Neurospora crassa OR74A: one gene and its partner. The protein of the gene in region 2 interacts with the protein of the main gene of each other region in a pairwise test. Links are inferred from orthologs where the notes say so. Each region holds a gene or a part of one and is shown on either strand. Other genes may lie near its edges.

Region 1 (16,440 bases), on a different chromosome or scaffold from region 2:
ACTCGGTGAAGTCCCCTGGGACATCCAAAAGTAAGTAAACTCCCCTCCCTCTCGTCACCGTCCCTCATCCCCCAACCCAAATCTCACTAACACCCCATTTCACCCCACTCCCAGATACTGGCACCAACGTTTCTCAATCTTCGAATTCTACAACTACGACATCCACCTAACCGACTCTGCCTGGTTCGGCGTCACGCCCGAACCGGTAGCCACGCGCATCGCCCGGGACCTCTCCACTCACCCCATCGCTGACGGAAAACGCGTGTTAATCGACCTCTTTGGCGGCGCCGGAGGCAACGTGATTGCCTTTGCTCTTTCCTCGGGGAGATGGGATCGCATCATTGCTATCGAAAAGGACAGGTCGACGCTGGCCTGCGCCCAGCATAATGCGGAAGTGTATGATGTGCTGGACAAGATTACGTGGGTGCATGGTGATTGCTTTGAGGTTATGAAAAGGTTTTGGAAGACGACGAGGGGCACCAAGGGAATGGAGATGAAGGGGAGGGGAAGGGAGGGTGGAGAGGCGGCCAACAAGGGGCAGGAACAAGAGGATGACAACGAGGAACTGGATGGCCTCCTAGCGGGACTCAAGCTAGAAGAGTGTCTAGTCTTCGCCTCGCCGCCCTGGGGCGGCGTCTCGTACCGCGATCAGGAGGTTTTCGATCTTAGCAAGATGGAGCCGTATAACCTGGAGCAGCTGTACAAGGCATGCACGATGCCGCAAGAAGCAAAGGAGGAGCACCCATCGACGCAGAAGCAAAAGCATATCCTGCCGCAGGCGCTGTTCTTGCCTAGGCAAAGCGATTTGAACCAGATTGCCGCTCTGGTACCGGAGGGTGCTCCAAAGATTGACGTGGTTCAGTATTGTCAAAAAGGAGCAAGCAAGGCGCTGGTGGCTTATTTGCCGGGGAATATTGACGCCGGCAAGGAGGATAAGAAGCAGTACGAGGAAAAGAGGGGGCAAAAGAAGAGAAAGCAGGATGACGACCAGGAGCAAACGATACCAGAGCTCCTCCCCGAGGCGCCAAAGGAGGCGTCGGAGGCCCATGACGCTTACGATACCTCCTACGCCCAGGACATCGAAGTTGACACCTCCAAAGTGGACAACGCCGAAAAAAGGAAGCGAAAACGAAGGAGACGCTCATCGCACAACAACTAGCAATCACTGCGACCATGGGAAGGAAAAGAAGTAGGATCTCCCGGAGTACTATGGTTAGGCTCGGGAACCAGGTGGCTGATGAAGCCTCGGGATTGGGATAGGGTTTTAAGGAACAGGACATGATATGGACAATTGACGTTGGACGGATGTGACACGAGCATGCACATACTGTAAGAGATTTTCTTTCCCATTTTGATGGCCTTCTTTATTACCACCACCGTCAGAGTCATTGTCAGGAGATCAAGGAGACGGGAAACAAACACCCTCTCTATCGATATTGTACAAAGCATAAAACAACCATCAAGGAACAAATTACGCTACCTCTAGCACGTAAACCAAACAGTATCAGACTTTACTTAAACCTACTTCTTTTTTGTTTGGAAATGCTCCAAGCATCCTCCATCCCAATTACCACCTACTTTCCCCCCTAGACCTCACCGTCCCCGACCTCGAACTCGACCTACTCCTTCCCTCCCTCTCCCTCCCTCTCAACTCTCTCACATCTCTCAGCCCCGCCGCTCCACCACCACCACCATACGCAGAGCCGGCCCGGTCCTAAAGAGCCTTCACCACACTCCTTTCATCAAACAGATCCCTCAATAATCCATTGACACACCCCTCCCAGTCCACTTCCGTCATCTTGTACGTTGTCTCGAACGCAAAGATACTCAGCTGTCCGAAAAACGGCCGGAGCACCTTGGCCACTAGTTCGTCTTTGCGCTCCATGCCTACTTCGTCGGAGATTTGACCTGGGAGGTTTCCCAGCAGGGGACGGCGGAGGGGTTGACCTTGACCGTCGATTCCATCGGTGGGGGAAAGGAGCGAGGACGGATCTAGGCCTAAAGCTGCGGCTCCTGCTTCGGATAGGGAGCGGGAGTGGGAGTGGTGGGCGTGGGCGTGGGGAGTGACAAGAGAACCGTTGAGTTCCTCAGAGACTTCATCCACTAGCGCCACGGGCTGATAACCGGCTGCGCTGGGCCGGTAGACGGCGTCGATAGTGTCGGTGACGAATAACCACTCATGCAACTGGAAGTCATCGGGCGCGACGCAGACGAGCAGATCCAAAAGCTTGCAGGCTTGCATGACGGCCGGGTTGCCGTATATGTCGCTGGGCGCGGAGTGGTCGGGCGCGACGACCGAGGAGATGGCGGCGTGCAGCTCGGCGTTGACGACGGGCCAGAGCGGAGCGAGGTGGATGGCACTGGTGCGGAGGACGAGGGCGCGCATGACCATGTAGACTTCGGCGCGGGTGGTGGAGGAAGGGGAAGAGGTGGCGGTGGCGCCGAGGAGCTCGACGAGCTTGTCGAGAATGGACGGCAGCTCAGTTACGAAGGTGTCGTCGGTGGCGGCGAGGATCAGGGTGGCGATGCGCCGCAGGTTGAGTTGCGTCTTGCGGTCGGCTTCGAGGCGGGCGGAGGTGGCGCCGACGCCGAAGACAATGCCCGCAGTCGAGGGCGGGGTGATGCGGCCGAGGATTTCGGGCATGCGTTCCTTGTCTGCAACGGTCCATTGCTTGAGGAGGGACAGCCAGTCGGTTTGCACGAGGCTCAGGTTGGAGCTGAAGAAGCGCGAATCGTTGAAGGCATCGGCAACGTCCTTCTTCCAGGACTTTTGGTTGTTAGGTAGGCGGGATAGTTGGTGGAGCAACACCAGGGTGTTCTTTGACACGGTGTCGGGGAAGAACTTGGACCGCAGCGTTGGGCCGATCACGTTGGCCGAGATGGAGGTGGCAGCCGTGAGGATGCGGTCATTTTCAACGAGGATCTTGGGCAGGTTGGGAACGATATTGGAGAGGATCCCAACGACATCGTCTGCGCGTTCGAATGGAGTCCGGCTGGCTGCTACGGAAAGCGTCCGAGGGGCCTCATTTGGCTTCTTTTCCGAGAGAAGAAGGTTGGTAGTGGATGAAGAGTAGCTTGTCGAAGAGTTTTCCACGAAGCTGGTTGGCCGTGTAGTGAAGATAGCCGCCAGGAGACGGAGGAAGAGATCCGCCAGTTCACGACGCATCTTCCTCTGTTCTCCAAAGTTGGTGTTGTCCACCTTCTCACCCAGAATCGCAGCAAACTCCAGCAAACTTGGCAACGCCTGGCGATGGGGCAGTGGGTTGCCGAGGAGGTCCTTCAGGAAGATCATGCAGTCCTGCCATATTTCATCCATCGCATCATCCTCCAGAGTGCGTGCGTAGTCAACCAGGAAAATCACCACGTCTGTATCCTGCAGCTCGATAGTAAGGGTCGACCTCCTTGAGGGATCCAGCGCGCCCGGGTTAGTCCTGCTGTATATAGCGTTGAAAAGTGCCGGGATTGTATGCTGCGGCCGCGATCCATCAAGGGCAGGCAAGAGATTGAACACCTCGGCAGCCTTGGACGTATCAGAACTATCCAGTGCACCCCTCCATATCCCAATCACCGTTTCCAAGCACTCTAGCGTCTCAGCAGCAAAAAGATGCTCAAGGAGCCTCCGCGCTCGGTTTCTCATCCGTAAAGAGGTGTAGTTAAACGAAGCGCCCGAAGAGTTGTCTTGCAGGGAGGCATCGCTCCCTTGACCCCAGGACCAGATCTTGAAGCAGATGCGCACCGCATCTTGGAAGGCCAAAAGGACGGTAAGTCGGTCGTTAGCTGTGGCGCTCCGGGTTTGCGGTGTGTCGGATGAGAAGACACCGGAGACCATGTTGCCGAAAAAGCCTTGAGGCTGGTCTGGGTTCTTGACAACCTGGGCTCTGGCCTCTTCAGCCAGTAGCCTGTCGTGTCCCCTTGCCAGTACCTGCTCGAGGCCATTCAGTAGGGATATTAAGGTAGTCTCGGGACCAATCTGACTGTGCGTTTGAGGCTCGTCGGAGGCTCGGAAGAGCTGCTGTAAGCGGCTGAAGGTGGTGGAAATTTGACTGCAGAGTGTCTCGACCAAGGGAATCAGGACCTGAAAGATTGAATCTGAGTAAAGCGGTAGGCACTCAGCAAGAAAGCTAATCCAGCTATCCAAGACGTGTCGGCTGCTAGGTGCACTGAGTCCGGAAAGGATACACTTTAGCAGCGTGGGTGGAGGCGGCTGAAGAACGGATGGTGGTTTCCCTCCAGCCACAGCTCGGAAGGCTTTAGCCGAGTCTGCCGTAACACTTGCGGCACGTTTCTCTGCGGTTGGTGATTCTGGAAGTTCAACTGGTGCTAACTCACGTAGCTTGAGGGCCGCAAAGACAACGTCCAAAAGCAAGGTCTGGACGTAAGGCTCCGGACCTGAAAGCGACTGGGTGAGCATATCGATGAGAGGGTTCTCAAGGTGCAACTGTGCTAGTGGTTCAGCATAGGGGTTCACCAGGATAGGATGCATTACGCCCAATGCTGAACGATAAAGCTGTGTCACCCTTATTTGAGAGCTTTCGTCGTTCAAAGTGTTGACGTCTGCCATGCATTGCATGGCAACCTTGAGGAAAAACTCCTGGAAGGTCAGATCATCCTCGGATCCGGCTGATCTGGTTAGCTTCCATGTACAAGATGCCCGAATGGGATGATGACGTACTAATCTCGGATAATGATGGGAAGTAAGAATCTGGGCGGATAGTCTTTTTCGCAAGGAACGCCCAAATGCTATCAGGGGTAAAGCGAAAGACATTGGATAAGGAGCGGAGATAATACACAGCCAGCTCCACATCATCCTCGTCGGAGAATTTATGAACCTCTTTGGCTTCAGCCGAGGTTGTTTGGCGCCTCAGACATGATAGCTCGGCGAACTTGGACACGAAGATGTTGAAAATTCTGGGAGCAAAGGCGTTAGCAAGCTGTGACTTGTGACCCAGAAGGCCTGGGGTCATACTTGTCTATCCCGACTAGGCTGCTCAGCCAACTCTTGACTGTCATGAACAGCTGCGTCCGCTCATCGGTGAGGGCATCTAACATTAGGAATAACGGGCGGGTAAGCATGACTTCGTAATTATCTATACCACCAAGACGTGGCGGCGCCTTTGCGTCAAAGATGGGGGTCTTGGGTCCTCGGCGATCGCTTCCAGAGGGGTTATCTTGAAGACTATGCGACCAGAGCACACTGAAGCTTCTTCCAGGGTCGGCAGGACGTTGGATAAATGTCCCTGAAACATCTTTCTCCAGCATTAGAGAACATATGGCTGCCTCGATGTCTCGATTGGTTGGTGTCAGTGCCGTCTGGAGTAACCAAAGACTTCGGACCGTCTCAACGTGGTACTTCGGCTCTGACGATGATAAAAAGCTCCATGCGTGGCGTACCAAAGGACTAACCAACTCAGAGAGGTCCACATGGGAAATCCGGTCGGCAGAATAAAGGTGGGTAGAAAGGGTTAATAGCGAATAATAGGTGGTAAAGGTAATAAAAGCATCTGATGACAGACACCCGTGAATGGAAGCAAGAAGTTTCTTCGTATCGAGGAACGATCTGTGAGGTGTCTTGGTGAGAAGAAGCAAGAGAACTCTGCTCTTTGCAGCGACAGTCGGGCCGGACTCGCGTTGACTGAAACTCTCACAGTTCATGTCGCAAGCTTTTTGCAACAAGAGTTCCGCCACATTCTGCGGTACAAATGGGGGAGAGGTGGCGTCCAAGTTTCCTTGTTCGGCGTGGTAGAAGTTCTTGATTTTCTTCAGCAGTTCAACATTCGGGATTCCGGCCAAAACCTTGGACTCGATAGCTTTAGCTTTTGCGCTCGTCGGGAACGCTCGTTCTGGTACGAGCTCCAACAAGCTTGCAGCTATTGTTAAAGCCTGGACCAACAAAGTCGTACCGTCTGGTAGCAGAGTGGTCGCATAAGCATCACTCTCTTTCAACTCCTCGATCATGCATAAGATGGAGAGCACCGTAAGCGGAGCATGAATGGTTATCATCTCTTCTTCGCTGACGTTGAAATGGCCGAGAATGAACTTGACAAGGTCAAGCTTGTCGCTACGATCAGTCACTGAGAGTTTGCCAGGACTGATAGCCTGCGCCACGAGGTTGAGAATTTCGCTGTATATCAACCCGCTCTCGACTCCGTCAAAGAAAACACTTGCACTTCGGAGCACCTCGGTGAAGTCTGATTTGCTGTCTGCTTTTGCTTTGAAGTCTCGGACACTGTCAACAATGGGAAGAAATACCTCAGGCACAACCAAGCCGCCAATTTCCCACCTGTCCATCAAGGAAAGACAGATACGATATGGCTTCGCCCGGTCTGCCGGATTGTTCCCAACTCTACTAGCCTTAATCATGCCGAGTAGGGCCCGAGTCAGGGGTCGCAACCCAAATTCTTCAAAGTAGCTGGTCCTCGACATAAAGTAGGCAGGGGTGCTTGCAGTAGTTGTGGGAGAATCAGGGCCGCCTTCGCCCTCGTGAGCAGCTGTCGGCTCGGGGCCGAGGAGCCAGGTCCACAGCCGCCTGTTTAGACTCATATCTCTCCGGGTCGTTACCCCAACTGCGGTCTTCAGGAGGAGTTCTAGGTCGTCGGTCTTGGCCCTGGCTTGCAACACCTTGGAGTGCAACGGAAGATGGGTAACGAGCAAATCAAGAAAGCCACGTTGAATAAGGATCTGGTCATCGGCCAAACCGGCAGCAAAGCAGCGGATCAGCAATCCTGGCTCGGGAGACGTTACCAGCTGTACCAACTTGGCAGAAACCTCGGGATCCAAGCCATTGCGAGTGTCAGCCTTGTAGCCATCTGAATGTAACTGATGTCCCAGTTCAGGCAAGGCGCGCATAAGGTATGCCAAGGCCCCCGTCCTCCTGCTATGCCCGGTTATGGAAGCCAGAAAGAAACACTGCCAGAAGAAGTCGTCACCAGAGGAGTGAGTTGGCGTTATTGTCTCGCTTTCTGGTGGGCGGAGAGCGGCCTTGACGCGTTCCACAAGCTTCAATGTGCGCTCAAAGTCCTCGCTGGTTTCCTCCTCTAGGCCTGGCAAAAGAGCAAGTATGATCGATTTCAAGGCAGGTCGTAGGGATCGCGGGTTTACACCCAAGAAGTGGCGTTCGAGTAGGTCGAGGAAAGGGGTCCGGACGGAAAGGGAGGCGAACGACAGAACCGACGCAAGGCCGGGGAGATAGAGTGGCAGGTCTCGCGACAGACCTTCCTTGCCAATGACTGTGAAGATGAAATTGTAGACCTCGAGCGTCTTTTGGTGAACCCCGGACGGAAGAGACGGGTTCAAGCATTGTGACAGACGCTTTGCGACGGTAGCCTTGGCGGGGATGGTGTTGATGGTGGACGGTCGAGCTTGGAGTGCCTTGAGAAGGCGGTTGAGGAAGGAGATGTAGTCGGCCCATTCTTGGAGGGCTGTATCGAACAGCGAGAGAGCTCGTTCGACGCCGGAAGCGTACTTGCGGTAGTTCTTGTCCTTCGGCGCAACTTCGTCTGTCCATCACCTGGTTAGCTACCTGCTAGCTGTATTCTAGCGGGCATGTTTCAAGGGAGGGAGAGGAACATAACATACCATTCCCAAGCTGGTTCCTCCATTGCTTGGGTACTGGAGATTCGCGGCCAGAGCTCTCGGGGGAGATGGACCTCGGCCGGGTAGGATCAAGAGACATGGTTGGCGGCGGGTGGTGGCGATCGTGGGAGGAGGAGACCTTGAGAGTCTAGGGATTCGAGAACAGGACGTCCCCTGATCTAGGCAGACTGCTATAGGTCATTGCCGTCTCGGAGGGGGCGACGGGAAACGGGGGACGGGATGGGTGGTATCTTTGGTGTTGAGTCGCAAAGGTACCCGAAGAGAACTCCACTGAAAGATGTCACGGTAGAGGTAGAGGTAGCTTCCACTCCAAACAGACAGTTCGAGGTTCCCGTGTCGTTGGTGACGACGACTGGACGTTGAGGTGCAGCAGGCGGGAGCTAGGTGTCGACGGTCGGGTGTCACAGTGAGGCTGTGGGTTAGGTTGTTAGGGTGGGCATCTGTGTAAGACACAGTGGAGCAGCGCTGTTGATGCTGTTCGTCAGCGCACCACTCCCACCCTGCCGTTGCCTGCACCCGCTAACGGGGTTCCATCCAATCACTGATCTTCCCCACTAACATCCAGCTGCAGGAGCGGCCCGCTATCTTATCGCTAACATTTTTGGGTTCTGGAAGGTCTGGCGGTTGCGAGTTGCGATTGAAACCCCTCCCCCTTCTGGCGTACAGGGGGATGGCATGTGTGACCGCTCTCATTGTCGTCATTCTTCCGGGTCCTTCTGTCCCCTTTCTTCCACTTCCACCTATCTCTCATCCGAACTCCGTCATTTTCGGACCACAGATCCCCGACATCTCCATCCCCCATGGAGCGGACTTGCGAATAAGCCAGCGGAAATAACCAAAGAGTGAACGAAAGCGTCCGACAATGCCCAGTTCGACCAGCTCGACATCGGTGAACCTGTCGACGCCGACCTGCCACTGTCTTACTCACAACAATGGACCGGGACACTGAAGCCGGAAGCAACGATGGCACCAACGACAACAACGACACAACCATACCCCCTCACACCCCCGAAAGCAACATCGAAGCGGTCGATCATGTCCCTCCCGTACCGCGCCGTCCCAGTCCCAAGTTGTCGGACGATGGCGCATCCGGAGCCCTACATGTAGCGGCCGCTTCCAGGCCCACCACCCAAGTGTCGACCATCGATATCTCTACTCTGTCCTTTCCCGATGGATCGCGCGGCACTTTCTCGACGAGCGCGACGAGCGCGACGAGCGCGACGAGCGCGACAAGATCCGTGGCCTCGCCCCAGTCGAGCGCCAGCGGTTATACCTCCCCGCGCACTGACCTGGTCGAGACTGTGAGCGTCGCGAGCTATCCCGCAACCCTCCGTCCACCTGGCGACCTGGCAGATCTTGTCACCGGCGAGTTTAACAGGCGAAGCCGGGCATGGTCCATGCTGAGGACTCAGTCATCCTCTGTGCAGCCCTTCGAGGCCAGCAGGACCGGCGCATGCGACAGCTTGACCGGGTTCGAGAAGGAGTTCGATAATATCCCCGAACTAGGCGAGAAGGGCATCACCGACGAGCAGCGGCTGTCACTCTGGAAATCCAAGATGAAACACTACATGATCCTGTCCTCCGCCGGAAAGCCCATTTGGAGTCGACACGGCGATACAAGTCTGATCAACTCTTACATGGGAGTCGTACAGACCATCATCTCCTTCTACGAAGGCGCAAAGGACCCCCTACTAGGTTTCACCGCCGGAAACGCTCGCTTCGTCATCAGCACTCAAGGCCCCCTTTACTTTGTGGCCATCAGCAGACTAGGCGAGAGCGATGCCCAGCTTCGAAGTCAACTAGACGCTCTATATATGCAGATCCTGTCCACACTCACACTTCCGACCCTCAAGAACATCTTTGTGCATCGTCCCTCAACCGACCTCCGAAAGCCATTGGAGGGAACCGAATCCCTCCTCTCCTCCCTCGCCGATTCCTTCACCAAGGGCTCTCCTTCTGCACTCCTCGGCGCCTTGGAATGCCTAAGATTGCGCAAATCTCACCGGGCCACCATCAACAATGCCTTTCTCAAGTGCCGCAGCGACAAGCTGCTCTACGGCCTAATCGTAGCCGGGGGCAAGCTAGTGAGCGTGATCCGGCCGCGCAAACACTCGCTCCACCCAAGCGACCTCCAGCTAATCTTCAACATGCTCTTTGAATCCGGCGGCATCCGCGCCGGCGGCGGCGAGAACTGGGTACCGCTGTGCCTACCAGCCTTTAACAACCGCGGTTATCTTTACATGTATGTGAGCTTTTTTGACTCGGTAGAGACGGCGGAAGAAAACAACAGCAACAACACCAACAATCCAGAACAACCACCACAACCACCACCACCAAAACCAGTGACTTCACCAGACGAAGAAATTGCCATAATCCTCATCTCCGCCGATAAAGAATCCTTTTTCGAACTCAAATCCATGCGTGACAAACTCGCCCTTCAACTGGCCAAGAACGGTTCTCTGGCACTCATCCAATCCGCAGCCCGTCAAGGCCGGCCGCGTATTGAGACCATCTTGAACACCAAACCCCTCTCCAAGGAAGCAGGACAAGGCCAGGGACAAGGGCAACTAAGTCACTTTCTCTACAAATCCCGCGCAAATGTTCAATTCTGCCAATCCAGTCTCTCTCCTGCTTTCGAAACTTCGTCCCCCCCTTTACCTTCCTCCTCACCCTCTGAAAACGGTTCTTCCCAAAAGACGACAGAAAAACTAGTCTCCCGCCGCCGCCTAATGACGCTCTACCACCACTTACACGCTTCGATTCATGCCAAGCACTCGCACCTAAAAGTCTTGCATCTGGTGAGCGAGGACGCGGCGAGCCTGGCTTGGATCACGCCCGTGTTCGAGTTCTACTGCGTGGCGGGACCGAATATGTCGAGTGGAATCATGACACAGTGCGCAAACAAGGTAGTGCAATGGGCGAAGAGAGAGGAGGAGCGGTTATTTATCATTGGGGGTGGTGTGTTTTGATGATCATATTAACGAATTAGCATTGGGTATCATAATGGTTTTCTGGTGTGTACGGCATGTTTCGGTTTGCTTTCCTGGGTTGTTGATTCTGGTCATTTAGGGAGATACCACACATATATATCGGTTGTTTTTTTCGTATAGGTTGTTAAAGATAGTTCATTGCTCTTCAGTTCTCCATAATGTTTTTTCGGTATTATACTCGATTGTATGATACTCATAGCTTTCTGCTTCTGTTTACTCAAGCCTTAATTCAAACCATATGGACAGACATGATTCACATATGTATTAATACCTCCCAAGTCGCACTATTTCTGCCTTTTGGACAGGTGGAGATTGTTACCCCGTCCCTAAACCCAAGTGTATATCTGACTCCCTGGTTTGCCATAACCCAATGCTTATCTTCCCATAGTGTCCTTCATGGGATCATCTTTGTCCGACATAGCGGTATTGGAAAGGTTCCATCCATCCTTGAAAAGCAGATATAGTGAAGAGTATCCAGCTAAAGCCATTAACATCATAAAGCCATTCATCGGTTTCGATTAAGGTATTGCCTTCCCTCAACTCAAAGGTGAATTAAACATATAGGAGAACTGCGCAAAAGTGTTGCAAACACATGACTCGACCCCATCATGCAAAGCCGAGAAATCAAAATCCGAACTTTTCACCACCCGTTAAGTTACCATACCATCCAGTCCTGGGACTCGAGCTTAATCCCGGAGTGTTGGCGCTTTACCAACCCATCACCAAATCCTTTCCAACCTTTCCGTCCATCCCGTCCTTCCCTTCCTTTTCGTCTCTTCGTTTGTCAGAGCCATTGGCGACGGAACTTGCTCGATCACCGTTGGAGGAGGAGCTATAACTATAAGTAGTGACTGACATGGGGGTCCAAAGCAAAGATGACTCGCTCCCGCCCTTCGCCAGGGGCATTCTTGAAGTGAACACCACCACCACGGGACTTGACGGGGAGTGGCATGAAGGCATTAGAGTTATCGCTCGTGCTGGGTGTGGGAAGTAGCCTCTTTCCAGCCGCTTCCAGCAATAACTCGATAGAGTCTCCTGGCAACCCTGTCCCTTGTGAACCCAGTTTATGGGCTTTATATCGATGCTTGTTGATGCGGCGTTGCTTGCCAGTACTGTTGCTCAAAGTGGAAGTCTCAACAACGGGTGCTTGGTGTTTCAGTGCAATGCTTCCATCATCAAAATATGTGAACTGTACAGTAGAGGTCCTTCATTCCTCTCTAAGCCTCGCTGAAAGAGTCAAGTTGCCCTTAACTCGTCTCGGCCAAGGGAATCAAATTCCACTCCAGAAGAGAAGACTGAGCCTGCATTTCGGTTCTCCAATTTCTGTTTCCATGTACTGCATGATACTGATCGCGTGTCAACGGCCTTTCAGATTAGGACTTCAGTAGAGACGGACCTCAATGGTAACTCGTCCATGAGCACCATTGGCCGAGGTGACACATCCTTCAGTTCTGCTTCCACATCTCCTACCCACCTTACCTCTTATCTTCCCGCTGCCTCGAAACCCTAAACCTACAACCCATATCTAACCAAACACTCCTCCCGATGCGCCTCCAGACACTCCAAAGCACAAACCCTCGCCCCGCACTTGATGCACTTCACACGTCCCCAATACCCACACACTTCGCAAAACCTACGAGCCGGGTATCTGCCCTCCTCCTCCTCGGTCCACTGCGCCCGCGCCTCGAGGTAGCTCAGCGGTGGAGCCGTTATCAACGCCCGGAGCTCTTCGTCCGTTGGGAAGGGAGGGACGCGCGAGACGAGCAGGGGGTCGTCGTCGCCTGGGTGGGGAGTGGGTGGTGGTCGGTTGTAGGCTGGTAGGATGGTGCCGTCTGGTGGGTAGGATTGGATGTTTGGTTGTTCTGTTGTTGTTGGTGGTGGTGTTGCTGTTGTTGAGGGCTCAAGGGATGTTGGTGTGTCGGGACGTGGGGGAGGAAATGGTTCTGAGGAGTCTGGGGTTATGGTTTCTCCTGTGGCTTCAGGGCCATCGGCCATCTCTATATCGTCGCTGCCGGCGACGGCTTTCGGTTGTGGTTGGGTCTTGAGCTTTTTGTGGGACCCGCCCTTTTCTTCTTTTGCTCCTGCTGCTGCTGCTGCTGCTGTCGCTGCTGCCCTTTTGGGAGCGGCCGAGGAGCGTTTATTTGAACTTGCGGTGGTGATAGTCGATGGAGCGGGCGAGTTCCTCGCTGTTGTTGTTGCTGTTGTTGTTGTTGTCGTCGGTGTTGGTTTGTTTACATGAGCTGCAAGTTGAGGATTGCTCTCGGCTAGTGCCAGGAAGGCTTGAAAGTCATCTAAGTGGTTCGCAAAGGTCTTTTGTGATTGTAGAATCTTGCGCACGTTCGGTGTGTGTTTGTTTTGGGCTGTTCCAACACCATGCCATGTCAATTCCGTAGTCTCTTCAGGATAAAAGGTTCGGATGATTGCGCACCTCTAGTCCCACCCGCCTTGGGCGGTATGGGAATCTGCGCATCCCTATGTGAATCTTTGTCCAGTGCCTCGAGATCCTTCCGAATCTTCGCATCCTGCCTGGCAGTAAGATCGGGAGCGCCGACATTGGCCTTGTCGCGCGCAGCACGTTTGCGGTTGAGAGGTTGTAGCGCAGCGGCCGCGGCGGGCGTAAGGCCGGTATCTGGGACGTACGCCCATCCTGGGGCGTTTTTCGTCTTTTGACTGGCGACTTCGATGACGCCGAAATTGTTCATGATGTTTGTGTCTGTTTGGGGTGTTGGAGAGATGCAGAAACGTGCGTTATCGCGAGATCAATAAGGCGCGATGACCAAAGTTCAAATGGTGATGTAAGAGGGAAGTTTTAGATGGGCCGAACCGCGTGGCGCGTTTACAGCGCTAGGCCGGGGTCCGGGGTTGCTATAAAACGGCGCGAGATCACTGGATCTGCCAGAGCTACCCCTGAGCGTCCACTCAAGCCCAGGGTCACCTAGTCTACGAGTCTACGAGGAAATCCAATGGGAGAGCTCATTGTGGGTTGAGCTTTGAACATCGGTTTCAGAGCTCCCGTCTGGTACCTCGACAGGGTGATAAGAGTCGTGATCATGCTTACCTATTGAATGTTTACCCATAGAATTGCCCGGTATTTGAGTGTCTAGGTACCAGTGGTGAGAAAACCTCTTCCTTGTCGATTCCAACTTCTGGCTTCGAGCAGCCCAATTTCGATGTACAGCGAAAGCTCCCGTCCGATTGCCACCAGAGCACGCTCTCCTCCAATTTCAAACCATGAAAAATAAACACCACTTCGCACTTCAGCTTTTGATGTCAATAAAACCCCATCCCGCATCCTTAGTTCTTATTCTTTTGTTCTTCACATAACGGTTGATTATATGCCCATGTCCCCAAACTTCTCATGTATTCCTTCCTCATCCGCAAGATATCGATTACTTCCTCTTCCTCTCCAACGCCTCCATCTTCTCCTCCAAGGTAACAAGGTATTTGCTCAGCCTGTCAACGGCATTCTGAAGAGCCTGTGTTTTCGAATGTCAGCAATGTTTCAATCTCTTAATCTAATCATGTTGTTGTATGTCCACCTACGTAGATATCTTCCGTCAAGAGGTCGTTCGAGGCCTTGTACTCTTGGAGCGCATAGTAGTAGACAGCACTGCCGGCGAGAGTGCTACCGAAGAAGAAGCCGAAAAGCCTGTGTCATGATCGGCGGGTTAGCATTCCTCGTGTCTATGCAGGGGCTTGTATAAAACCTGTCCCCTTCTCGTCGTTGTCGCCAGCTTTTCCTCAAGCTGCTTGTCTCCTTCCAGCCCCAAACGTACAATCCTCCGTCACATCTTCATCCCGTCTCATCCCAATGACCAGTCATTCCCATGGATTTCCCCTATTCAACCCTTCTTTGGTCGTTTCCGGGATCATCTCTTGCTGCCTTCGCCCATTTTCCACGCACCGCGCACCCGATCCAGTAGCATCCCCAAGTCCACAACTTCCCGACCGAACCTCAGCGAATTCCAAATCCAAAATGAACCCCCAAGATGAATAAACTCACCCCCCACGAAAAGCACCAACAGGTTTCCTGGCAGGCAGCGGTGGCACCGCGCCCGCGCCGGGAAGTCCAGCGCTGGAGGTCGTAGCGACAGACTCGAACCTCCTTGCTGATGTCTGGAAGCCGCGACGGAAGGCGGCGGATAGGACTCTGGAGGCCATTTTACGTTTTGTATGGTGTGAATGTCTGTCTTCGTTTGGTCCAATTGGAGCCGCGTTTATGAATGCGATTGCGATTGCGATTGTGTCAAATTCGTTCGGTCGTTGAGATGTTCGTCGTAGTACTCGCTATAATGCGATCGGGGATTTCAAAGTTGCGGGAGGAGATTGGTATCGATCGATTCGCTGGTTCGTTTGGGGAAAGGGGAAATAGCGATGTTTGAAGCGACGGGTGTGATAGATGGAAGCTGGGACTGAACCCAAACCAACCGAACCAGGAACTGAAACGACGTCAGGTCAGTATCGCCAGACGGGGCAGGCACCCCGCGGGAACGGCTAAGTAAAGGTTGTGACGGCATGACAGGGGTCTTGGGTGGTGGGTGCAATTGAGCCAATCAGTGAGAGGGAAACAAACGGGCGGAGTGTGGAGGCAGAATGTCAATCGGCTTGTTACGGTGGACGTGTCCTCGAGGTTCGGTCGTTGCCGTCAACCGGTTGTAAACTGATAAGGATCGCGATAAGGCCCTCAAGGTGCAAGCTTGGACAGACAAAGAGGAAGGAATAGAACAAAGGAAACGACTTGATAATTGACAACTCATCACGAATGAAGAAACACATGACTGAATTATATCTTGTGCGTGTTTTTGTAGATTCCGCTAACAACTGATAGACTATATTGAATTCCCTTACAAACATGCCTTTTGGTATCTTACTCCCAGATCCGTACAAGGCCGCTTCTTTCCCGAAAGGTGCTGTTGCCCAACGAAAGACCCTTGTTCCCAGTAAAACCCATAAATGATGATGCTATTAAATACTTAATGTCTCGTCTCGACTGACCCTTTAGAGCTCGTCGTGGCTGGTCTCCTTGGCGGGCTCCTCGACGGTGCCAGTCTCGGTGGAGGAACCAGACTCGGCGGAAGCGGCAACGGATTCCTCAGCCTCAGCCGGGGGAGAAGCCTTGTACTTGCCGTTCTCGGAGATGAACTTGATCAAATCCTCAACGGTGCGGGGGCCAGAGTACTCGACGGGCTTGTCCTTGGCACCGGCAGCGTAGAGCTTGATGGTGGGGAAGCCCTGGATCTCATCGGGAACGTCGTTCTGGGTAGCATCAACCTTGGCAATGACAACCTTGTCCTTGAAATCCGAGTTGGCATAGAGGGTAGCAAGCTCATCGTACTTGGGAGCGAGAGCCTTGCAGTGACCGCACCAGGGAGCGTAGAACTCGATAAGAACATCCTTGGTGTCGTCAAGGACAATGTCGTCGTAGCTCTTGGCGACGACGACAGTAACGGGGCCCTCCTGGGTCTCGGGGATGGGCTCAGACTTGATCGTGGGCTCGACCTTGCCAGCAACGAAGTCATCAACGAACTTCTTGATGGAGTCGGCGGTAATCTCCTTCTCCTGGTCGAAGGGGAACTTTAGGTTCTTGGTGGTGTCCTGGATAGCGAAGGCGGGGAACTTGTCGGCCTTGAGGTTCAGGTTGCCGGCATGAGCACCGAAAGCCTTGGCGTCAATGGTAGCGAAGTTGATGACACCACGCTGGGCCTCAGCGATGGACTTGAGGGCCTCGCTAAGCTCCTTGCGCTCTTCGGGGGTCTCGGCAAAGATGTAGGCGAGGGGGATGCCAGCGGACATGTAGCCGGCATAGGTGTCGGGGCCAACCTCACCGATGAGGGGGGTGGAGGCAGTCTTGGCAAAC
Region 2 (16,378 bases):
GCTCCCTCTATAAAAAAAGAATCCACTTGCATTGAAATCATACCCAAGACCATTTTTACAGATACCGTGTGCGCGCTATGGTACTTCTAGAGGTGCATGCAATACATCGTTATCTAATCAGATAAAGCTACGATAAGCTGTTCCACTTCGATGACGCCAAAAGTTACCCCTGTAGTTACACAGTAAGCACTCGTAACTCCGAACTCTCCGCTGACATAAATTAACTAAGCACCATCATCCATCACCAACTCCATTTGCGACAACGACAAGGGATATAAAAGACGACATCTCCGACCCTGAATTGGGCCCTACATGGTCAGACGGTCTTCCTTGCGCATTTGATCCGCACAAATAACAACCATGCTCCTCCTCCGACCTCTCCGCCAAACATCACGAGTCGCAACCGCAGCCCTGAGCGCTTCGACGACGCGGGCTTGCGCTCAACGCTCCAGTAATGTAGCCCCCTTCTTCCGGCGCACATACGCAGCAAGAGGTGCCCCTGCGGCCTTCCCGACCATCGATACCTGCCCATCGCCCACCTGCTCATGCGCCCCGACTCCCTCGTTCCCCGAAGGCTTCGAGATCGATCATACCACGCCTCTTAACGGTCTTATGCCAAACCACGCTCAGCAAGTCCTAATCTGCACTGGCAAGGACGACTGGCCATCCAAAATCGAGGACGATGACAATGGCCAAAACCATGCCGCCATGCTGCGTGATCTAATTGGCCGCGGAGGTCCCTATAGCGATGTGAGTTGACCAAAAAGCCCATGGAAAGGAAGGTCCAGCCAGTCACAGTTAAAGGAGATGGTGGAGGATCCAACGGGAAGAAGAAAAAGAAAAAAAAAAAAGAAAGCAGTAATGGCTAACAGGTAAGTTCCCACCTCCCCCTTGAGGTTTGTTCCTCCCCCATCAACAGCCCTTCCACAACATCTCCGTCCTCAACGTCTCCTTCCCCCCATCTTCTTCGTCTCCTTCTTCTGCGTCTTCCTCGCCCGCCGACCAAGAGGAGGCCACAAACACCACCACCACCCCCCCAAAAACAACATCCATCTACCTCCTTCCCGACTTCAAATACGTTCCCTCCCTCTCCTCCGACCCCAACCACGTCAAGGCCCTCGTAAAAGCCCACCTCCTTCCCGAAAAGCTGCACCCCGTGCACAACCACTCGCCGCCCGCCAAGCGGGAGGCCCTCCTCCGCGATCCCAGCTACGGTGATATGCTACCCGGCGGGGTCCGCGACATCCGCAACGAGGTGATTGTTCTCATCTGCGGCCATGGCGGGCGGGACCAGCGGTGTGGGGTGTACGGGCCTCTGTTGAGGAGTGAGTTTGAGACGAGGCTGGCGGAGCAAGGTCAACAACAACAACAACAAAAACAACAACAAGGGCCGGGGATTGAAGTGCTGAAGGGCGCTGCTGAGAAGGCCGTGGTGGACCTGGAGAAAAAGAAGGGGGTCTGGGGAGCAAGAGTTGGACTGATTAGCCACATTGGTGGCCACAAATTTGCGGGCAACGTGATTGTTTATATCCCGCCGGGCTTGAAGTCTTATGATGACTCGGACGTGCCGCATCCACTGGCGGGACATGGCATTTGGTACGGTAGGGTTGAGCCGAAGCATGTGGAGGGGATTGTGCAGGAGACGATCAAGAAGGGGAACGTGATCAAGGAGCTGTTCAGGGGCGGGATCAAGCAGGGTGGTGAGATTTTGAGGTTGCCCTTGTAGACCCCTAGGTATCTGCGTACCTTACTTAGCCTGTAAGGATTTGTGAGATCTTCGTGAAAAGTCTTCATAGCTGAATTCAATTTCGATCAAAGCTGAATGTTTCTTGATCACCGTGACATCGCTAAGCATACCCACAATAGTGAGTGAACACTCCCAAGTAACGAATACAAGCAGCCCCGCGTCCATCTTTTGAATGGTTTAGCGAACAATGTCATCATGCACACCAACGCTTGGGCAAAACAAGCACTGGAGATGTTGAGATACCAATGGTAGTATCAGCGCTATACCAACTGTGTAGAGGTATGTAGGACGTCTAGTGTGTATAAAAGTCAACAAAGAGAAAAACAAGAGACGCCAGCCTCGACACTGTGTTTTTTTTTCAATTCCAATCCACTGCCTCCCATCCCAGCTCAAGCCTCTTCTTCTTCCTCTTCTTCTTTCTTTTGCCCACATCTAACTCTTATATCCCCTGGACCTTCCTATACGAAGGCGGTTTCATCGTCCTCCTAATCACCTTGGCCGCATACGTCGGGATGAGCGAGATAGCAGCGATAGCAGCCACGCGCCATAAGAAGCCCCTGTTTATTTTGGTCAGTCAGTCTAGTGAACAATCTTTTTAAAGGGATACGGTAGTACCCCCAGGGAGAGAGAGAGAAAAGGTAATAACACTCACAAAGTCAAAACAAACTTCAAATCAAAATAATCCCCCAAAAACGGTATCGAGACAATGTACATCAGAAAGGTTCCCACAATCGAGACCACCATGACCCAATGCCACGTCGTGATCTCGATCGCAACCATGAGCAGCTCGTTGAGCACCAGCACCGTGTAACTGACGGCCAACATGCGGGGGCCATCGATGCCGGTGAGGACTTGAGACAGGCCCTGGATCAGACAGCCCTGATAGATGGAGACGAAGACCCAAACGAAAAACGTCCGGTAGGAAAGAGAGCTACCCGAGGTTAATTCCTTGTAGAGCTCGGGGTACAGGTTAGCAAGGTCCTCGTCTACGTCCTTGTCGAGGACGAGAGAGAGGACGGGGAATGCGGTGTAGACTGTTGCGTAGCCTACCATCAGCCAGTCCTGTGTTTTGTTTAGGTTAGTAACTACGACTGCAACGAAAGGGATCACTCGCCAAGTCAAACGTACCTTGTAGAGACCCTCCGGCTCAAACTTGAGAGCAATACTGTACATAGTCTGACAGACAGCAATAATCAAGCCACGATGAATGACAAACTGCGCCAGCTTTGCGCTGCGCTTATAGCTATTACGACCGTGCCACACCAAAAGCTTGGTCAAGTGATGAAACTGCTCGATGGAAAAGTCGGCCGCCAAACTAGCCTGGCGACCTTCCTTACCCACAATACCCACGCCCACGTCAGCAGCCTGGATCATGGAAACATCGTTTCCACCGTCCCCGATACAGCAGACGCGCTTCTTGGTGTACTCCTTGATTAGCTTGGCGACCTCGGCTTTCTGGGTAGGCGAGCAACGGCAGGCCACGACGGTCGGCAAAAGCACGGCTACGGAGATGAACTCGCGTCGGAAGTGGGTCAGGTACATGGCGAGGGACTCTCCATCGATGAGCAGACAGGAATCGGTCTTGCTTCGGAGCAGGTCCAGATTATCTTGCGCGCCGTCCTTCCTCCTGAGCTTGGCAATCGTGTGGATGTACTGACCCCTGGCTACAAGCTTGGAGCTCACGGCGACGCAGCGAGCGGTTTCGACCTTGTCGCCTGTAAGCATCCAGATTTTAATGCCGGCGTTTCGAAGAAGTTCTAGAGAAGGTTTGACGTCCTTTTGCAGCTTATCTTCGACGCCCGTCACACCAAGCAGTTCCAGGTTATGCTCGAGATACTGCGAGACGACAGCCTGCATGTTGGCTTCGCGGCCGCTGATGGCGAGCGAGGCTTCGTGGTGCTTGGCCGAGAACTCCTGGTATTCCTTCAGAGACAGACGCTTCCTGCCGACCACGAGCGTGCGGAGACCTTCGCGCGCCATGTTGGCCGTCTCCTCATCGAGCCAGTCGTTGGCAGCGACGATGGAGCTCATGACAGTGTCCGCACCCTTTTGGTAGAACCAAATCTCGCTGCTGCCGAGGCTGGGGTTCCCGGGCTGGAGCTTTTCGTAGAACTGGACAATGATGCCCATGCGCTTGCCCTCCGAAGTGAAGGGGAAAATGTCGAGAATACGAACCTTGACCACTGGCCGGCCGGTTTCGGCGGATTCGAGAACGATGTTCTTGCGATCTCGGTGAGCCAGACGCAAGCCTACGGACTCGGTCCATTTTACAATGGCAATCTCGTCAGGCGAGCTGGCTTGGTATGAGTTGACGGTGTGACCGTTCTCGTCTTCTTCCGAAGTTGGGGTAACGTTGTGGCAGAGGGCAAGAGCTAGTACGACATCACGGACACGCGACCCAATCTCTCGGCGTGTCCTCGTGGCACCAACATTGGCGGCCGAGTATGTTGAAGACGGGGTTGCCAAAGCCAAGCTTGCGGAAGAGGCCGATGAGCTCAGATTAAACCCCTGCTTCACGTAGGTTGCAACCTCATCCATTGCTTCGTTGGCATACGAGACAGTGCCGACGTGGATCTTTTTCATTTCCATTTCGTTTTGGGTTAGAGTGCCCGTCTTGTCACTCAGTAGATACTCTATCCGTCCCAGATCCTCCGGAATCGTGCTGGTTCGCACGACAGCCCCGGGAATCCCAGGATCTCTTTGGATAAACCATGAGTAGACAGACTTGCCGAGATCCAGGTTGACACGGAGACTAATGGGGACGATGGTGGAGAATAACACTAAGAATCTCATGATCTTCACGTACCAGATGTTTCCCTTGGCCGTGCTGAAGCCTTCCAGCGCAACAAGAACGATAGACAGGAAGAGCGTCAGGAAGCAAAGGATTTTGGTGAGTGAGTTGATCTCATACTCTAGAAGGCCGGTCTTTGATCGCGAAGGTGATGTAGACAGGGCTGACCGGGTTTGAGGTCCGGTATAAACAATCACTGCGAGGGTTGTCGCATTCGATGCGATGACCGTATTCGCCCAGGCCGTGTTGTCGATCGAGAGAGGCGCTGCCTTGACATCGTCGCCCTCCCTAGGGTTGTAGGCGGCACCGCTCATGACATCTTGTCGCGAAGGAAGAAGTTCCAATGTTCCGACGAACTCATTGACCCTTTTGTCAGGTTTTCCGGCCGTGACACGGAGACGAACTAGTTCCTCAGTGCTAAGGTTTTGAGATAACGGGGACGCCAACCGCAGCTTCCAATCAGTTTCACCGTCCAGTTGGTCGGTCCGAATAAAAGTCTCGCCGCTAGAGCTTCCCTCGGCGCCATTATTGTTGCTCTCCTTGGACGTTTTCGCATTCTTGGAACTGCCCTCTCCAACATCGTCATCATCGACATGGTCCAGGAGCAGCATCTCCTCCTTCGCGGGTACTTCTTGCTCTTCGGTCTCCTTGTTGGCAGCTGATTCGTGTGCCAAGCACTTGAGAATGATAACATCTGCCGGAACGCGATGGCCCTTGGTAAGCTTCAAGACGTCACCGACCTTGAGGTCCCGCGACTTTTTGCTGACTTCGGATAGGTAGGATGCCGGCAATTCGCGAAGACCCCGACCTTCAGTCTGTTCTTCCTCCTCTTGGATATCCGATAGCCGATCATTTTCCTGCTCAATGCCAAGACGTTTAGAGCCCGTTCGTGTATGAGACGATTTCATCTTCCTCCTAGGCCGGTTGATGCCTAGACTAGCGCCTGGATCGTCGAACTGCAGAACGGTGTACTCTTCGGAATTCGCCTCGTTGTCCCTTCTTCTCCGTTCGATATCGTCGTAAGCCTCCTTTGCTAGGGTGATGAACAAGACAAATGCCAAGGGTGCAACGTAGGTGGAGAGATAGCCGATTCGTAGTGCGGGGATGGCCTGGGAGAGGGCGACCAGGAGGAAGTACATGTTGAAGAAGAAGGAGAACTCGTTGTACAAAGTGACTGGCAGAAAACTCCATGCTGTGTACTTTGCGTTGGATATGATGTTGGGTGGGAAGCGGGTAGACTGGGATGAGCCAACTGCAACTAATCGTGACGATGAGGGGTCGTCTTCCTCCTGTTCCTGCTCGTCGTTATGGTTGCTCTGGTCGCCCGACATGAAGCCTGGTAGCTTCATCGAGATGTTTCGAAGACCGTCACCGGCGAAAGACCTCCGTCGTCTTCCACTGCTGGTGCGTATTCGGCCGCCACCACCATGTTCGCTGAGGAGGCCGGCATCCTCGTCGTGGGTGGCACTGCCAACCGAGTGGCGATCATGGCGGAGCAGAGCGTCGGCGTCGTCGTCGTCGTTTCCGTCCCGGCTACGGCCTAGCTCGCCATATCCATTGCGTTTGGCGCCACGGCGTAGACTCCCCATGCGAAGATTGCGAAGTGCTATACTTGTTGTTGGGGGAGGAGGGCGTTGTTCGGACGAGTTGCGGCTGCGGTGTTGCCCCAAGGACTGGTGGTGGTTATTGGGGTCGGTTGCCTGGGGGTCGAGTTCTTCGAGGTCTATCTCCAAGTCGGAGTCGGATTCATCGACGACGTGGGAATCGGGCGGCTTGGAGAGATGGTATGTGTCTGAAGAAGGCATTCCGCATTGGGCGAAGCCCTTTTCCTCCACAGCTAGATAGCGTATGCTCTTGAGTCGTGTTGTCCTTTTTTGTTTTTTTTTTGTCTGATCTGTCGCGGCCTAACTGTAGCTAAGGGTAGCTTGGGCTGTGGTCGCGACTGCGTTCGGATCTGTGGTTGGTTTGTTTGGGTTGAGTTAGGGGTCACTTGGGAGGGTCCTCGTGGTGTCGAGATCAACTCCTCCTTCCCATAGTGGCCGTGGTTGGTAGTCTAGGTGCGTCTGTCTTGCTGCTGGGTGCTACGTGCTTCTGGGGTCGGGTGTGCTGCGCCTGCAAGGGGACGGGAGTCGAGATAGTGTCAAGTTACTCGATAGAAAATAGTCCAGTCATGGTAGTGATTCGTACAATGTTTTCATCAAGTCGTCCGCGGGCACATCAACTAGGTAGAGGTAGGGAACTGAGAGATGACGATGGCATGTGACGGAAAGAAAGTCACAAACGGGGACTCGGAACGGAAACTAACAACTTGAACTGAAAGTGGTGGTAAAGTGGCAGTGATCGGACTGTGTGCGCGGCCTGCTCTTCATACCGTACCTCGTACCTCCACTCTAGAGGTACCTACCTACCCATCGATGACAGGCTCCCTCCTGGTGCGTCCAAGTTCGTGCAGTGGCTGTGATGATGCTGGAGGAGGGACTGAGCGCGCTTATCTGTTAAAGCAGTACCTACCGGCATCCATCGAATTCACCTAAATAACTGAGTATATTCTCAACACTGGGACAGGCCGATAAGCTAAGTAGGTATACTGCTTCCCCATCCATGTAACATGGAAGGACAGCTGTTGTAACGTTTTTTGTTAGAGATCCCCGCGCATTCCCCGCCATCCATATATCAGACCGCCTAAATGTACCACGTAGCGTAGTGTACTATTGTGCAGACAGGGCAGCAGTCAACCTTCTGCGACCTCTGTGTCTTGATTTCCGCGGATTTTCCCAGGAATCTTCCGACGGCCGCTCCCGGTGCGCCTCCATCGTCACAGTCTTGGATCTTGACAAGTTGCAACAACTGAACTTGGCCTTCCATTGAGGTTCTGCAGTCGCGCAGTCTCATACTATGATCCTTTCCCACGTGTGATCGACCATTCCATCCCAACGTTTCCCAGATCTGTAGTAACAAACAGGACGACAGCATTGCCCTCTTCCTTGTCATTGACGAAATCCAGCCGGCGTTAGACTTTCTTCCTCATGTTGACAGCCATGATCAGCTGCTGAACCTACTTGTACAAGTTAGTCGTCCCTTTTGCTTGCCCCTATTCCCATTCCCATTCGACAATTGCGCACTCTGGGCCTGCTGAACAGGGGTTGTCTTGCCCGCAGTCCTCTGAGGCTCCTCCTCAACAGGGCAGCCCAGTTGCCCAGGTCCGCTCCCCATTCTCAATCCCGTCGCCAATCGCCGTTCGGTTCGTTACGCGATCAAGCGATCCCGTCGAGTTTCGCCCCATCCTGGACTTCCCACTTCTACTGTTTGTAGCTAGCTCCTCCTGGCCAACAACAAATACTACCCTTTCTCCATCTTCAAATATTCCCACCTTCTCTCCCCTTCTTCATGTACTAATCTTACTTATTATATACAGTAATTCAATATTTTTTTTGTGTTTTTGCGCGCCCATACAGCGTCCCCAGCTGTATCGCGCCATCTAATCGCCCGCCATGGCTTCATGGAACCCGGCATTCATGCCAGAATCGGCCGCCGACCTCCCGGCCCCCTTGCCGACTGATAACACCGTCGCCGACTCAACAGATCATGCGAACGGTGTAGCCCAAGATGGCTCCGACTTCTGGGGAATTGATGGAGGAGAAGAGGACGTGCCCGCCCAGAATGGCGCCTCTGACTCCTGGTTTCCCGACTATGGAACAGGCAGTCATACGACACTACCCGCGACTGATGCGCAAGCTACGAGCCAAATAACCAGTGAAACTGATACCGACACCCCCGATACCGCTACCGAACAGACCGAGACCGCACATGTAACTACGGAAGATGCTGAAGCTGTCGAGCCAGCTCCCACTCAGACGGACGAAGCTCCCGAGCCCATCGTAGAGAACGCGCAAGCTACCGAGGCCGTCCCAGGAGACGCTGCCACCGTTGACCTCGTCCCCGAACATGTGGAGCCTACCGATGCTACTACTACAGAAAAGGCCGATACAGACGAGCCATCGGATGTCGCTTCCAAGCACACGAGTACGATGTCCTTCACTCGAACCATTCCCCATGAGCCGAGCTGGAGCGATGACGGCGATCCTGAGTGGAACCTCGCGCGAGCGGATACGGATCCCTTCAAGTTCTTGCCATCGAGCGACCGAACCAACTCTTTTCCTCCTGTTCCTCCCCTAGAACAGCACGAGCAACAGCAGGAAGAGCAACAAGAAAATCAACAGGTACAGCAGGTACAGCAGCAGCAGCAGCAACCTCAAACCGATCCTCATTTGGAGCAGTCAGCAATTGTCCAGCCCCAGGTCGCAAATTTCCTTGGTGATGACGATGAGGTCGAGGTACAGGGCGATGATGGGTTCTTCAGCCAGTTGTCTGAGGCACAGAACGATGGATTTGATCAGTTTGGCGCCCAAGACGCGAACAATTCTCAGCAGTACATGGTTGGTGACCTAGGTGCTAAGGCCACTGAGGCGCTTGATGCCCGTTTTGAAGAAGGTGTTCCCCTGATCGCACATGATGGAAACTCGACAGCCGAGCGGGAAGATACAAAGGACCTATTCGGAGGAGAGGATGCCAATGATGAGGACGACTTTTTCAGCCAGGTTCAGCAAGGGAGCGTCAACCAAGCTGACTTTGAGGCGCAGCCGCTCGAACGCAAGTCGACGATGCAAGTATTGGGCGCTATGGATATGGGCTCCGTCCAGCCAAGCTTCCCACCAGTGGAAGAGCAGCCCGAGGAAGAGGCCGTCGCCACGGTAGAGACGCAAACCCACGACCATCCCGAGATAACGAGTACAGATCTGAACACAGGTGAAGGTCACGAGGAGCAGAAGCCAGCAGGCGAAGACGTTGAGGCCAAGTGGAAGGAACTGTTTGCTGACGATGAAGAGGACACCCTATCGCTTCTTGATGATTCCACAGAGGCGTCGAATGAGATCAAGGAGAAGGAGATTGATCCGGCTGCGTTCTTTGGGAGTGATGATGAGGGCTTTCTCGACGATTCGGAAGAGTTCCCAACAATGGAGGAAACAACCCAGCCCAGAGCGCCTAGCGTAGCTGGCTCCAACACCACGACAACCCCTACCACCCGGTACATGCCTCAGACCCAAACTCCAAGCCTGACCGGAGCCCCGAATCCCTATGCCCCGACTGCGCCACCCCTAACTTCGGCGCCGTCAAATCCTTACTTTCCTGCCGCACCCAGCGCGGTTGCGCAGACGCCGTCTGTTACGCCCTTTGGCGCCCCTGTCTCGGCTCCACCTCCAAGCGGGAGATTTGGATACGGCGCGGTCCCTCCGCCACAGATTGAGAGGAAAGCCCAAAGCTTCGTCGACAAGAAGGGCGGCTACCAGTCACCGTACGACCTTCCTATGGAGGTAGTCAAGGTTAAGAAGCGCCCAAGTACGGCAACTCTTAACAAGCCTGTGACAGCACCGGCCGCTCCACCGCCTTCCAAAAGCGCTACTCACCTGCCTCCTCCACCACCTCCTACCTCTGTTCCACACTCATCTCAGCCTGGTGTCAAGCCACCACCGCCTCGTGGTGAAGCCAAGCCGAAGGAGAAGTTCTTTGAAGAGCTTCCTGTGGTCACAAAGGCGCGCCCAGCTTCTCGAAATACATTGGGCACCGCATCGCCGGCACAGTCTAGCCCATACGGCCCACCGCCCCCGGCTGGCCCACCTTCTATCGCCTCGCAGCCACCAGTACCTGGAATGCCGTCTGCCATGGGATCTGTTCCCAACTCTTCCTTTACCCAGCATGCGGAGGTTCCCAACCTGGTTGCGCCGCCACGTGTCAACCCTTATGCTTCGATACAGCCCAGCACTACGAGCCTTGCTCCCGCTGTTCCTGCCCCGGCTTCAAGTCGTTATTCTCCAGCGCCTTCCAGTGGGTCACAGCTCAGCACTCCCGTCCCACCTGCTGCGGCAAGCCGTTACTCTCCCGCCCCGCCAGCTTCTCGGCCAACGAGTTCGGGTTATACTCCGACTACTTCGGTGCCACCGGTTCTACCACCGGTTTTGCCGCATCAACCCCGTACCTCAAGTCCGCTAGCACATTTCGAGTCCAGGCCTCTTGTTTCTAGCCATGCAGAAAGTGGCCTGGCGGAAAAGCGGAGCAGCAGCTCGTTGTACGACTTGCGACTGCAGAGAGTGCCTTCTCTACCTCCGACTCAGGAGGTGGAAGAAGAAGGCCCCATGCAGGGTATGGTGTCCCCCAACCAAGTCCCGGCATCCCACCAGACCTCTCCTACGGCGTCAAGACATGGCGCTATGCCCCACCGTTCTAGAAGGACACCGCCTCCGCAGTCTCTAACTGTGCAGCCGGTGACGTCCCCTCAGAGGGCGGCATACAGCTATCAGCCTGCGGCTAGTGCTCCATCTCACGAATTCGCGCCACCACCTCGGTCGCAGACTCAATCCCCTGGTGCCCTCTACGGGAACAGGAATGTAAAGCCTATTGAACCTATCCCTCGTCCTTCGTCGGTCACTGACGCGACTTCGCCGCGGGCTGCGTTGTATTCTCCTATCACCATGCAACCCAGTTCTACTTTCCCCCCCATTTCTACGATTACCTCGCGGCCGCGTGGTAACACTCAGAATTTTAACCTAGTTCCCCCGACAGATGGTAGAGAACATGATCCCCTACAGAGATGGCGTGGTGTTCCTCTCATTTCCTGGGGCGTAGGTGGAGCTCTGGTAACAATGTTCCCCAAGAACGTGCCACGATATGGCATGGGCCAAACAGCCCCCATGGTTATTCGTAGCCCAGGAGAAGTCAAGGTCAAGAGCATGAAGGACATAGAGCCAATGGAGGAGCGCTTGGCCAAATTCCCTGGGCCTCTAAAGGGGAAGTCGAAGAAGAAGGAGACCATTGCCTGGTTAACAAACGGAATTGAGATGCTGGAGAGGACTGTGCCACATAACCTGTCTCATCAGCTCAACCCGTCTCACGATGACAAGCGGACAACAGAGAGACTCTTGCTTTGGAAGATTCTGAGGGTCTTTGTCGAGCATGATGGCGTGTTGGAAGGAAACCCGACCGTTAACCAAGCTGTGCGCGAAATCCTGTACCCGGAGGCTTCAACCATTGGTGGTCAGCCTGAGTTCGCAAATGCTCTGAACCCATCAGGAATGGGCAATTCTGCCACGACTTCACTACAAGCCGACTCGGTTGATTCTTCTGCTGTTGAGCAGATCCGCAACCACCTCATCAGTGGCGACAATGAGAAGGCAGTGTGGGCTGCGGTCGATAAGCGGCTTTGGGGCCATGCCTTCCTGCTGGCCAACGCCCTTAACCCTGACCTCTATAAGCGGGTCGCTCAAGAATTTGTGAAGAACGAGGTGAATTCCACCGGTCATAACAATGAGTCGCTTGCTGCTCTCTATGATGTCCTCTCTGGCAACCACGAAGAAAGCGTGGACGAGCTGGTGCCCGCCCATGCTCGAGCTGGTCTTCAGCTAGTGGCCAAAAATTCATCTTCTGGTCCCTCCAAGGACGCCATGGGTGGTCTTGATAAGTGGCGCGAAACCCTCTCCCTGATCCTCAGCAACAGGACTGCTGATGATGCCCGAGCCATCAACTTTTTGGGCAATTTGCTATCAGGCTATGGAAGAGCCGAGGCGGCTCATATTTGCTTCTTGTTTGCCAGAAGTCAAACCATCTTCGGCGGCTTGGACAACCCGAACTCTAACTTCGTTCTTGTTGGGTCTGACCATAGGCGGCAGGCGGACCATTTCGCAAAGGAGATTGAGCCTCTTTTGTTGAGCGAGGTTTATGAGTACGGCCAGAGCCTTGCTGGTGGTACCGTGCCCGTCAGCAATCCTCACCTGGCAGCGTACAAGCTTCAGCACGCATACGCCCTGGCCGAGTATGGCTTTAGAGACAAGGCCCTTCAATACTGCGAGGCTATCACGGCTGCGATCACCGCGCAGACGAAGCGCTCTCCTTATTACCATCCCATCCTTGAGGCCTATGTCGATGACTTGATGAAGCGATTGAGGCAGGCACCCAAGGAGGAATCAAACTCGTGGATCCCGAAGCCTAGCATGAATAAGGTATCTGATTCCATGTGGAATCGGTTCAACAAGTTTGTCGCTGGAGATGACAACGAGGATGGCAGTAAGGGCTCACCTGACGCTGCGGGAGAATCTGGTCCCTTTGCACGAATCGCCGGAGGAACCCCGACTATCAGTCGCTCGCCCTCTGTCAACAATCTTGAGACCTTTGGCGCGACCATCCCCAGCTATGGCATGCCTAGTGCTCCCGTGACGAACGGTCCTAATATGTTCTCTCCTCCTCCTCCTACACGGACGGCTTCACGCTACGCACCAGGCGCTCCTCAACCATCGACTCCGAACTATAACCCCTATGAGACAAACTCTCCATATGCGCCTCGCTCATCAATGGAACGGGCCTCAGGCGAGTACAGCAGAAGTTCAGTTGAGCTTCCGCGTCAGTCTTTGGACTCTCAGCGGGGCTATTCGCACAGCAGCTATGCTCCCAACCGTACATCTTCGCCTGCTCAGCCATATACACCTTACGGCACGACGCCACAGGAATCATCCTACTCTCTGCATAACATGCAGCCTCAGCAAAGTTTGACATCCCCAGCGGCTACTACTTCTGGTTATCAACCCTTCACTCCACAAAACAACGTCTCGGCAAATGATGAGCCCTCTAACGAACCCCCTTCGGCCCCGTCAACTGGCTACCAGCCGCCGTCGTACGGATATGAGCCTCCGTCATTCACCCCTTACGAGGCGCCGGCGACCAATGACGAGGAGGAGGGTGCCTCCAAGGAGAACGGTGACTCTAACCAGGGTGGCGAAGGTGTCAACACCTTTGAGCCCCCTTCATTCCAGCCATATAGCTATGAACCGCCTTCTTACGAACCCGACACCCCACCTTCGAAAGATGACGATCAATCTGAGGAAGAAAAGCCCAAGCCGAAGAAGAAGGGCCCTATGTACGATGACGATGACGATGATTTCCCCGCGGCGCCGAAGCCTGCCGGCAAGTCCAAGGCTGAAATTGACCGGGAGAACGAGGAAATGGTCCGTCGGATCGCCGAAGAAGAAGGTTAGTACCATCAGTCCCACCTACATAGCATTTTCAACCCTCACGTATCGCTAACATCACTCTCCAGCCAAACGCGCCGCAGAAGCCAAAGCCGCCAAGAAGGGCTGGGGCTTCACCAGCTGGTTCGCAAAGAAGGAGGCTGCCGCCGCCGATGCCAACGCCGCCGGAAGCAGCCCCGGCAAGCCCATCCGTGCCAAGCTCGGCGAGGCCAACTCGTTCTACTACGACCCCGAGCAAAAGCGCTGGATCAACAAGAACGCCAGTCCCGAAGACCAAGCCGCCAAGAAATCCACGCCACCACCACCCAAGGGCGGCATCCCCCGCTCATCCGCCTCCAGCCCTGCTCCTCCCATGGGTATGGGCGTGGGCGGCGGTAGCGCGCCCAACACCCCCGGCCGCGCCAGCGCCCCGCCTACTGGTCCGCCTAGACCGGCGGCGCTCATGCCTTCGGCGTCGGAGAGCAATGTTGGGTCTGGCCCACCTAGCGCTGTTGGTCCGCTGAGTCCCAGTGGAAGTAACGGGCCCCCAAGTGCGGGCTTGCTTTCCCCTGGCATGGGTCCGGCGGCGATGCAGCGCCCGGCCTCGACGAGCACGAGCGGGCCCCCTGCTGGTACTAGTAAGCCGTTGAGCGCGACGAGTAGTATTGATGATTTGTTGGGAGCGGCGGTACCGAGGAAGAGGGGTGAGGCGAAGAAGCCGAGGAAGGCGGCTAGGTATGTGGATGTTATGCAGAAGTAAGGGGGCCCGGGGGGTGAATGAGTTAAGGGATGAGGGAATGAGTCGGTGTGTATAAATTTTGGGTCTTGTTAGATTGGATTGGACTGTTTCTAATGCAGAGTGTATGTATGCATGTATGTACGTAATGAACGGCGAAAGGGGGATGATAAGCGCAAGTTGGTAGTTTTCTACGGTTTCTTGAAGTCGAGGATGGAGAAATGCAATCGGTATCCCAGAAGCCAATTGTCTATTTCTTTGCGTACATCCCACAGCTGTATTGTCGATTTCGGTCTCTCAGCTCCAGCTATGCAATTGACTAATTCCCGTACAAATTTGATGATGTTTGGTCATCGCTATTCGAGATTGAGATGGTGAGTGGGTCTTGGCAAACAAGGGGTAGGTAGAACTAAGTGGTCAGAAAGGGGGTTTGTTTACATTCATCAGAACGCAAGCGAGCCAAGTCGCAGACACTCCGCCATTCGCATTCACTAGTGTACGTTCCAAAGAGCATTCGTTAGTACAACATACGCAGGTACACCAACAGAAATTCCGAAGCGGAAAACTTTAGAAAGGAGAAAAAGGAAGAAGAAGAAGGAAAAAAAGAAAAAAGGTGGCTTGCACCGGAGTCAAACCGGTAACTCCCAGTTTACTTGGTAATATTAAGCTCACTAAGAGCTTTCTCGCATTACTCCCGAGTGTGTTACCCATTACACCAACGGACGCCACGGGAAATGGAGGGGTGGCGAGGTGGGTTATACAGTAAGGGGGAAGGTTAGCATGGTGGTGATGGTGGTGGTGGACAAGGTCCGAGGAGATTGGGGGATGAGATGTGAAGGGGGCAAGTAGTAGCATGCTCAATTTACTACAGCCCAAGAAGATAGGTATGTGATAAATAAATAGCTGGCTGGTCATGATTGTGATTGCTGACTCTCTGTTTACCTATTTGAGGTTCATTGGTTTTTCTTCTTCTTGAATTCTTGTTCTACGCCATAACATGGTGGCTCCTTTGGCCGTTGACCTTCATGTTCTCCCATGACACTCAATATTTTGTCGATGGGTCGAACATCTTTCTAGCTTATTGCCTTGCCAATGCGCACCAAACGCTTGTTCTCCATTTATATGCATGGTATCATGCATGACGCAGTGAATCGTGCGACTGTCCTTTGTTGCAACTTCAGCCAGGCTTGTAACCTCAAGTTGGAAAAGCCTCATACAGCCTGCCTGTGTCCCTTCCCGTATTCCGCCCATAACGCCATGTGAAAACCAAATCTTTAGTCGGGTATAATGATAACGAGTAAACCTTTTCTGATAATGATTACGTGTTGATAGATGAAACGTAGTACTGTCATCACGGTGAAAACGTTAGTCATAGTCCATACTCCAGATAGATGGAGACAAAAAGGAGAAGAAAAGAAAAAGAAAAGAAAAAAAGACTAACAGTAACAACATCATCCCCATCATCCCCTCCCCTTCCGGCCCCCACCCCCGGATAATCATCATCCGCCCTCCTCACATAGACATACAGTATGAGCGCATGCTCGTGCGTAAAGCACGCAATCACCCTGCTCGCCTCCAGCCTGCCCACACTCAACACCCTTGACCAATCCTTCCCATCTACCCTGACCGTCGCCCACTTATCCGGCCCAGCCTCCCTGTATTTCGTGCTCGGATGCTCCTCAATCGGTACCGGCAGCACCGCCGGGTCCAGTTCGGGATTCTCCAGACAGCTGTCCCAGACACTCGTAATGTCCAGGGTATCGGCTATTAACCGGAGACGCAAAGAGCCGTGCATGGTGGCTGAGAGCTCTAGTTTGGGATTCTGTGCTTCGCGTCTACTAGAGGACGAGGAGGAGGCGGCTGTAGTGATGGCCAGCTTGGTGAACCGGTCCGAAATCGCCTTGACTTGTAACAAGGGGGGAAACATGATGTGCACGTCTGGCTCCCGCACTTTCGGCTGCATAATGGTCTCGACTGTGTCCGGGTGCAGGACCCGCACGGGGATGTCTTGCGTGATGACCTTTTCGCGCTCGCGTTTCATGGTTAGTTCG

The links.
Region 1: the proteins of NCU03818 (region 2) and NCU09219 interact in binary tests that used the Saccharomyces cerevisiae proteins (3 or more experiments, as listed by UniProt). The link is inferred for Neurospora crassa OR74A from reciprocal best matches to the Saccharomyces cerevisiae genes NEO1 and DOP1.

The regions. Positions count from the first base shown.
Region 1 is NC_026501.1:5,884,410-5,900,849, forward strand, and holds NCU09219 (dopey domain-containing protein), read right to left. Parts: upstream 8,011-16,440; 5' UTR 7,673-8,010; coding exon 7,576-7,672; intron 7,497-7,575; coding exon 4,967-7,496; intron 4,909-4,966; coding exon 4,673-4,908; intron 4,621-4,672; coding exon 1,715-4,620; 3' UTR 1,330-1,714; downstream 1-1,329. Other genes in the region: NCU09218 (RNA methylase, variant), read left to right, coding at 1-30, 115-1,159; NCU09220 (vacuolar fusion protein mon-1), read left to right, coding at 8,526-10,562; NCU09221 (HIT finger domain-containing protein), read right to left, coding at 12,096-12,943, 13,012-13,285; NCU09222 (hypothetical protein), read right to left, coding at 13,973-14,059, 14,127-14,232, 14,587-14,744; NCU09223 (protein disulfide-isomerase), read right to left, coding at 15,582-16,440. UniProt on the Saccharomyces cerevisiae protein: Required for traffic between late Golgi and early endosomes, and for the normal structure and organization of the endoplasmic reticulum. Required for normal cellular morphogenesis.
Region 2 is NC_026505.1:2,506,864-2,523,241, forward strand, and holds NCU03818 (phospholipid-translocating P-type ATPase), read right to left. Parts: upstream 6,796-16,378; 5' UTR 6,344-6,795; coding exon 2,876-6,343; intron 2,810-2,875; coding exon 2,400-2,809; intron 2,305-2,399; coding exon 2,187-2,304; 3' UTR 1,818-2,186; downstream 1-1,817. Other genes in the region: NCU03817 (FMI1 protein), read left to right, coding at 361-750, 920-1,726; NCU03819 (COPII coat assembly protein sec-16, variant 1), read left to right, coding at 8,030-13,613, 13,681-14,351; NCU03820 (cell cycle checkpoint protein), read right to left, coding at 15,646-15,672, 15,769-16,378. UniProt on the Saccharomyces cerevisiae protein: Flippase that catalyzes the hydrolysis of ATP coupled to the transport of lysophosphatidylserine, phosphatidylethanolamine, and phosphatidylserine from the lumenal to the cytosolic leaflet of the Golgi apparatus membrane and ensures the maintenance of asymmetric distribution of phospholipids.